Linked DNA regions of Xenopus tropicalis. Each later gene encodes a partner of the first gene's protein in a complex. Links are inferred from orthologs where the notes say so. Each region holds a gene or a part of one and is shown in the gene's direction. Other genes may lie near its edges.

Evidence for each region.
Region 2: the proteins of mep1a (region 1) and fetuin-B are in contact, whole or in part, in a cryo-EM structure (PDB 7UAI), measured with the Homo sapiens proteins. The link is inferred for Xenopus tropicalis from reciprocal best matches to the Homo sapiens genes MEP1A and FETUB. Residues at the interface, in NP_005579.2 of Homo sapiens: Asp126, Gly127, Cys128, Trp129, Ser130, Glu131, Val132, Gln145, Gly146, Cys147, Tyr149, Ile152, His155, Glu156, His159, Tyr164, His165, Gln167, Ser168, Leu184, Gly186, Tyr187, His189, Asn190, Asp192, Tyr194, Tyr214, Gln215, Phe217, Ser218; in NP_001362516.1 of Homo sapiens: Phe109, Phe110, Lys144, Lys145, Tyr148, Met149, Thr150, Cys151, Pro152, Asp153, Cys154, Pro155, Ser156, Ser157, Ile158, Ser196, Ser197, Gln198, Trp199, Val200, Val201, Gly202, Tyr205, Phe206, Thr242, His245, Trp246, Phe249, Val250, Ser251.

Annotation. Positions count from the first base shown.
Region 1 is NC_030681.2:146,900,933-146,904,339, reverse strand, and holds part of mep1a (meprin A subunit alpha precursor), read left to right. Parts: coding exon 1-200; intron 201-1,498; coding exon 1,499-1,969; intron 1,970-2,621; coding exon 2,622-2,795; intron 2,796-3,407.
Region 2 is NC_030677.2:1,142,156-1,146,555, reverse strand, and holds the start of fetuin-B, read left to right. Parts: upstream 1-1,486; 5' UTR 1,487-1,867; coding exon 1,868-2,068; intron 2,069-2,363; coding exon 2,364-2,492; intron 2,493-2,832; coding exon 2,833-2,920; intron 2,921-4,337; coding exon 4,338-4,400. UniProt on the Homo sapiens protein: Protease inhibitor required for egg fertilization.

The DNA of each region.
Region 1 (3,407 bases):
GCACTTCGACACCCACTCTGGCCCCATTGGCAGCACTGCCCTCCTCGAGTCCCGGATCCTGTACCCCAAGCGATCCGAGCAGTGCTTGCAGTTCTTCTACAAGATGGATGGAAGTTCCCAGGACAGACTAGTGATCTGGCTAAAGACAGATGATGGTGCCGGAAATGTTAGAAAGATGAGGAAACTTCACACCATTTATGGTACTGTCAGCACTAAAATGGGGCACTTTAATGTTTCTGGGCCACATTGATGAAGTGTCCTTGTGGTAGCAGGATGCCACCCTTACACCAGTATCAATACATAACTGCTAGAAATGCTAGCCAAAATTTGGGGCTAGAGGTGGGGTCTGAACATTTCTGGCTGTATGTTGGGTGGGTTAAAGGAACAGTTCAGCGTAAAAATGAAACTGGGTAAAGACTGCGCAAAATAAAAAATATTTGTAATATAGTTAGTTGGGCAAAAATGTAATCTATAAAGGCTGGAGTGAGTAGATGTCTAACATAATAGCCAGAAGACTGCTTCCCCCTTTACAGCTCTCTAAGCTGTTAGCAGGCAGTAGCCAACCAGTGACTTGAGGGAGGGCCATATGGGACATAACTGTCAGTTAGTTTGTATTTGAATCTGTCCCATATGGACCCCCTCAAGTACTGATTGGTTCTGGCTTTTATCGTAGACATCTGCCCACTCCAGCCTTTATGGATTACATTTTTGCCTAACTAACTATATTGAAAACTTCTTTTATTTTGCGCAGTCTGTCTATTTATCCCGTTTTCATTTTTACACTGAACTGTTCCTTTAAGGGCATGGTCCTTTTTCAGGAGGATGTATGATTTATATATAGTGAGTTCCACTAAGCCCTGGGTTATGCTTAATGACTACCTCTCTGCTGAACATAATATAGATATATGTTTTCGGAAAAGATAATCAATTTACTAACTTTTTAATACGCACTGAAGAGCATATCTACTTATCTTGACCCGTATATACAGCACCGAATCAGCAGTTAATCAGAGTTAATGAGCATTCCATATCTGTTAATAAACAAATCATTAAGGTTGAGGAGACTGCCGCATACAGATACAAATGAACAAAAGGAATTCTGGGAAATGAATTCCAAGCTCCTAAAAAAAACATGGTTTTATCCTATAGGCTAAAGCTCACCCACTGCCTATAGGATAAACCCATGTAAATGGGATTTTTTATTAGGAGTTTGGAATTCATTCCCAGAATTCCTTTTGTTCATATATAGATTGTAAGCTCTACAGGGCAGGGACCTCCATCCTCTTGTGTCTTTGACTCTTAACTTATTGCAACTGTACCTTGTATTTATCTGTATTTATTGTTATACTTTGTATTTATCTATTATCTTATTAACCCCCTGTTTGTATTAATGTATCCTACTGTACAGCGCTGCGTATATAAGTAGCACTTTATAAATAAACATATACATACATATCTGTTAATAGTAATATAACCTTCAGACTTTTTCTCTTTTTAGGTGATAGTGACCGAAGCTGGAAAATTGCTCACGTGACCCTCAACGCCAATAAAAAGTTCCGCTACGTCTTCCAAGGAATCCACGGTAATAACAAGACCAGCGGCGGTATATCCCTCGATGATATCAGCCTCACTGAAACCCCATGCCCCAATACTGTATGGCGCGTGAAGGATTTCTCCAAAATCCTGGAAAGCACAACTAAAGGAGATCGTATAATGAGCAATCCTTTCTACAGCCCCGAGGGGTACGCCTATGGCATAACCATTTACCCCCATGGACAAGCATCATCGCCCTATGTCAACTACACGGGGATCTCGTTCCACATGATCAGCGGAGAGGACGATGATGTCATGGAATGGCCGGCCTTGAACAGACAGGCGATCATCACAGTGCTCGACCAGGACCCCAATGTACAGCACAGGATGTCGTCCAGCAGGAGTTTCACAACCCTGAGTTCTCAAATCATAGAATGTAAGCTCCTTAGGTTCAGACGTCACCAAAATTGCTGTTACTAAGCGGCCCCCCAGTTGCTAGGTTATGGGGGGGGGGAAGTGGGAAGAGCAGGGATCAGTTTCTATCTGGGAAAGATATGTGACCCACCATTGTCAGAGGAGACCCTGTTCCAAATAAGCTCTTAGTGCCATTAACGATTTCCCCAAAGTTGTAAAAGGGAAACTGTGTACTAAATGAATGAGTACTAGAACCAGAGTTGCTTTATATCATATAAAGAGCCTATTATAGAATCTAGCCAAACTGGAATATATATATCAGTAAATATTGCCCTTTTACATCCTTTCCCTTGAGCCGCCATTTTGTGATGGGCTGTGTGTTCCCTCAGAGATCAGCTGACAGGAAGTGATGCTGCTCTAACTGTAACAGGAAGTAGTGTGGGAGCAAAAGGCTGAACTCCGGCCCATTCATTGGCTGATGGGGCCTAGCATGTATGTGTGCCTTGGCTTGTTTGTGTGCACTGTGACTCCTATGATCCCAGGGGGCGGCCCTTAGTACTTAAAATGGCAGTTTCCTATTTAGGATTACCCAATGGCACATACTTCAGGGACAGTCATACATTTGCGCTTCTGTGCCGAAATTTTTTGAATAAGCTTTCTGTGTTTCTGTGCAGCAATGAATAACATATCACGCTGGGAAAGGCCTTCCCTCATTGGAACGTTCGATCCTACGTGTGACTGCTACAGAACCCCTGACTTTGGCTGGAGCACCTTTATATCCCACAGCCAGTTGCACAGGAGGAACTTCCTGAAGAACGACGATCTGATCCTGTTTTTGGAATTCGAAGGTATGTTTCTATTTATGTAAGAAAAAAATGGTGCCTATAGTAGCAGTGGGGGGATAATAGCCTCTGGGGCTGGGGCTGTGGGATAGCAGGTATAGTAGGGAGAGATGGTGCCTATAGTAGCAGTGGGGGGATAATAGCCTCTGGGAAGGGACTGGGGCTGTGGGATAGCAGGTATAGTAGGGAGAGATGGTGCCTATAGTAGCAGTGGGATAATAGCCTCTGGGAAGGGACTGGGGCTGTGGGATAGCAGGTATAGTAGGGAGAGATGGTGCCTATAGTAGCAGTGGGATAATAGCCTCTGGGAAGGGACTGGGGCTGTGGGATAGCAGGTATAGTAGGGAGAGATGGTGCCTATAGTAGCAGTGGGGGGATAATAGCCTCTGGGAAGGGACTGGGGCTGTGGGATAGCAGGTATAGTAGGGAGAGATGGTGCCTATAGTAGCAGTGGGATAATAGCCTCTGGGAAGGGACTGGGGCTGTGGGATAGCAGGTATAGTAGGGAGAGATGGTGCCTATAGTAGCAGTGGGATAATAGCCTCTGGGAAGGGACTGGGGCTGTGGGATAGCAGGTATAGTAGGGAGAGATGGTGCCTATAGTAGCAGTGGGGGATA
Region 2 (4,400 bases), on another chromosome or scaffold:
TTCTTTTCATTTATTCCCAGTGGGTTTTCCCTAAATTAAACAGTGAATCATTTTCAAGGGTGCTTGTCAGCTTTGTGGGTTTCACCCCCCAAAACAGTGGAACCAAATTATAAAAGAAACCTGTGTGAGAGGTTTTTTTGGAATCTGTTGGGGGGGTGGGGGCAGGGAATAGATAGAAGCCATATATGTTACATGTTACTCCTTGTAGAGTGTAAGCTCTTTTGGGCAGGGCTCTCTTCCCCTCCTGTATCGGTTACTGATTGCTTTATATGTTACTCCTTGTAGAGTGTAAGCTCTTTTGGGCAGGGCTCCCTTCCCCTCCTGTATCGGTTACTGATTGCTTTATATGTTACTCCTTGTAGATTGTAAGCTCTTTTGGGCAGGGCTCCCTTCCCCTCCTGTATCGGTTACTGATTGCTTTATATGTTACTCCTTGTAGAGTGTAAGCTCTTTTGGGCAGGGCTCTCTTCCCCTCCTGTATCGGTTACTGGTTGCTTTATATGTTACTCCTTGTAGAGTGTAAGCTCTTTTGGGCAGGGCTCCCTTCCCCTCCTGTATCGGTTACTGATTGCTTTATATGTTACTCCTTGTAGAGTGTAAGCTCTTTTGGGCAGGGATCCCTTCCCCTCCTGTATCGGTTACTGATTGCTTTATATGTTACTCCTTGTAGATTGTAAGCTCTTTTGGGCAGGGCTCTCTTCCCCTCTTGTATCGGTTATTGATTGCTTTATATGTTACTCCTTGTAGATTGTAAGCTCTTTTGGGCAGGGATCCCTTCCCCTCCTGTATCGGTTACTGATTGCTTTATATGTTACTCCTTGTAGATTGTAAGCTCTTTTGGGCAGGGCTCTCTTCCCCTCTTGTATCGGTTATTGATTGCTTTATATGTTACTCCTTGTAGATTGTAAGCTCTTTTGGGCAGGGCTCTCTTCCCCTCTTGTATCGGTTACTGATTGCTTTATATGTTACTCCTTGTAGATTGTAAGCTCTTTTGGGCAGGGCTCTCTTCCCCTCTTGTATCGGTTATTGATTGCTTTATATGTTACTCCTTGTAGAGTGTAAGCTCTTTTGGGCAGGGCTTTCTTCACCTCTTGTATCGGTTATTGATTGCTTTATATGTTACTCCTTGTAGAGTGTAAGCTCTTTTGGGCAGGGCTTTCTTCACCTCTTGTATCGGTTATTGATTGCTTTATATGTTACTCCTTGTAGACTGTAAGCTCTTTTGGGCAGGGCTCTCTTCCCCTCCTGTATCGGTTACTGATTGCTTTATATGTTACTCTGTATGTCCAATGTATGTAACCCACTTATTGTACAGCGCTGCGGGATATGTTGGCGCTTTATAAATAAATGTTAATAATAATAATAATAATAAAGCCATATGTATTGTATGTATAGATTGGCAGGGGTTCTGCTGCTTGCCCATTGCATCTCCTGGTCTGGCACAAACTGCTAATATGTCTATGCCCAAGGAATATATCACCACTGATACTTTATGACCAACTGAAACCTTATGTTGATAATGTCCATCTGCATGGTTGGAACAATCCAATAAGAGTTACCCAGTTACCCTCACTGGAATGAATGGGTAGGGAAGCCCCTGCGGTTTGATGGCTGATGAGCTAAGAACAAACAAAGGCCAATGGAATCTGCTGAAACACAAACAGTAGTAGATAGTAGTAAGAACAGGGTGTTGCTACTGAGGACCCTGACCTGTTGCCCTTTTGTTATTTTAGCAACTCAGCCCCCACGTACTCATTAACCTTTTATATGAGACTGTGCAAAGAGACCCCCCTCTCCATCCCAGAGTGCAACACTATATAATTCCATCCCCAGGAGGAGACGGTATCAGCAGTTGAGTGAGGACACAATGGAGCGGCTGTGTATCCTGGTTCTGTGTGTGCTGGTTCCCCTGTGCCGGGCTGAGAGCCCACTATCGCCTGTTGTGAGCCCAATAGACTGCAATGCTACTGAGTTTGAAGCAGGGGTAGCGCTGGACTTGATCAATGAGGATCGGCGCACTGGTTTTGTCTTCAAACCCCTCCATGTAGTTGAGGCGCAGGAGCAGGAGGTAAGTGCCCTTGGGGTCCCTTTAAGATAAATATGACATCAACCTTGGTTCATTTGGGGGTTTATTACAGCAATGGTTATGCACATTGTTTGTACTTTTATCATCTGCCCCCTTAAGGGAACCCCTGGGACACCCCAGCACACTCCTACTGCCCCCCAGTTGTATTGAACCTAGAACCCCAGCACCAAGCTCCCCACTGGCCCACAGATAGACAGAGAGAGATCCAGATTACAGACAGATAAAGGAACAAGTATTCATTGCATAATATGATACTAAGAACTGTTTCTGGATTCAGGTCCAGTCCCATTTATACCCAGCGAGTACCATATATTACCTGACCATAGACGTCCTGGAAACCACCTGTTCTGTCCTGAGTGGGAAATCATGGAAAGATTGCAGTGAGCCTTCCTCCTTCCATTTGTGGGTAAGTTGCACTATGGCACCACTGTTCTTCCCAACCCTCTGCCCAGCTGCCCCCCTACGGCTACTGAAGTCACAGAGGACTAGTGGCCAAATGCTTGAGACTAATAATGAGCTGCACTTACTTACACATGATGATGGGTCCAGGGGACCTGATTGTCCCACCTCTACTGGCCAGCCAGCTCAATGCCATACAACTGCTTTATTATTGTACATGTGATTGGACTCCAAGACTTGCCCCCCCCCATTTCCCAGATGCCACACTGCTCAGATATGTATATATTCTATATAAATGGAAGGAGTAAGTAGGAGGTACAGCTACTTATGTCTATTTTGTGCCGTAGGTGTTTGGCCAGTGTAAGGCTATTATTCTCCTATCCCTACCCTGGAGGGTACAGAAGCTGCTGAACTACAACTGCACCACTGCGTCAGGTACAGACTGGGCTCACAGGTGCCCATTCCCTCCTACATGTTGTTCTTATTTCTATTTAAGTCACTAGAAAGACAATGGGTGTTGCCCCCACTCTGGGTTTTTCATTGTCTTCTGTGCTCTGTCCAACTCTATGTCAATTGACTCCACCAAAGCAGCAATATGGAAGCTCCAATCAAAAGTATGAAATCATATATACAGAGTGCCCCTGCTCTAATAGCACACAGTGACCAATCAGATGCTTGGTGTCAAACAGGTGCCTGCAGGTTGGTTCCTATGGGTTACTAGATGTGGTGCAAATTTTTTGGGGCATTTATTACATTTCCATGTCAGTACTAAAGAGAAAAATGAGACAATCTACTGAGTTGTGAGACCTCCCAAATACCCTGTGACCTCCATTTGCTTCCCCCATGCAATATACTAATAGGGCGATGGAACATCATTAGTATTTTAGTGAGTGACTGATACTTACCCCAAGGTGAGTTCTCTAACACTTTAATACAAATGCTAAAGGTTGTTCAAGTACATAGAAGACATATAGCCATGGTTGCCCTAGGCACAATCCCTCTCCTACCTAACTCAATGCTCATTGAAATCTATAGTTATCAATGGGCTACAGGAACCAGAGATATTCGAGTATAAATATCTGTTGGTTACATGAAATGGCGCCCCCTTAGCCCAAGTAATTTGGAAGTGATGACCTGTAGTCTATGTGGGTTATTCCCTAGAGGTGCAGGTAAAACCCAGTGAGACTAAGAACTGCTAAGTGAATGTTTATTTGTTCTTTGGTACACCGAAGGGTTAACTGTTGGGTAACTATGTTTTTAATGGATCCTGACCTTTTGTGGCCACAAAGTTGTGCTTTCAAAGGGTAGTTCACCTTTCATTTAACTTGTATGAAGTAGACAGAACTATTCTGAGACAGTTTGCAATTGGTCTTCATGTAAGTAAAGGAAGGGAATGATGGATCTCCCTTAGTCTTGGGGTGGGTGTTTCTCTAAGAGCTGGGGGACAGGTAGGAACCATGCACAGGTTAACAAAGGGGATGGGACCTAGAGAGTGGGGATTGGCCAATTCAGGGAAGGATCCAATGGTGAGGCAATGCAGTAGCAAAAGGCCATTATGGCTTGGTAGCCAATAGCCTCAGCTCAACAGATTGTAGTGGGGTAAGTGGCCCTTTACATGCTCTACAAAGCATCCAGCATCAGGGCAGCTCCTTAGGAGCAAGTGCAGTGTGTGAAAGTGAGTGTAAATGTAGCAAGTGGGGCTGATTCTCTACATTGCCCTCATACCATGCCCCAGGCCCAGTCCCATCACCAGACCTTCACATGGAAGTTATTTCATCCCATCCCTACATGTTCCTCCCAGTTAGAAACCAGCAATGGAAATTCTGATGTTGTTTTGCTCCAATCTTCCCAGTTCCTGCCAGCGCCATCCTCCAGACCTGCCCCGACTGCCCAACCCCCACATGGGAAATCAGCC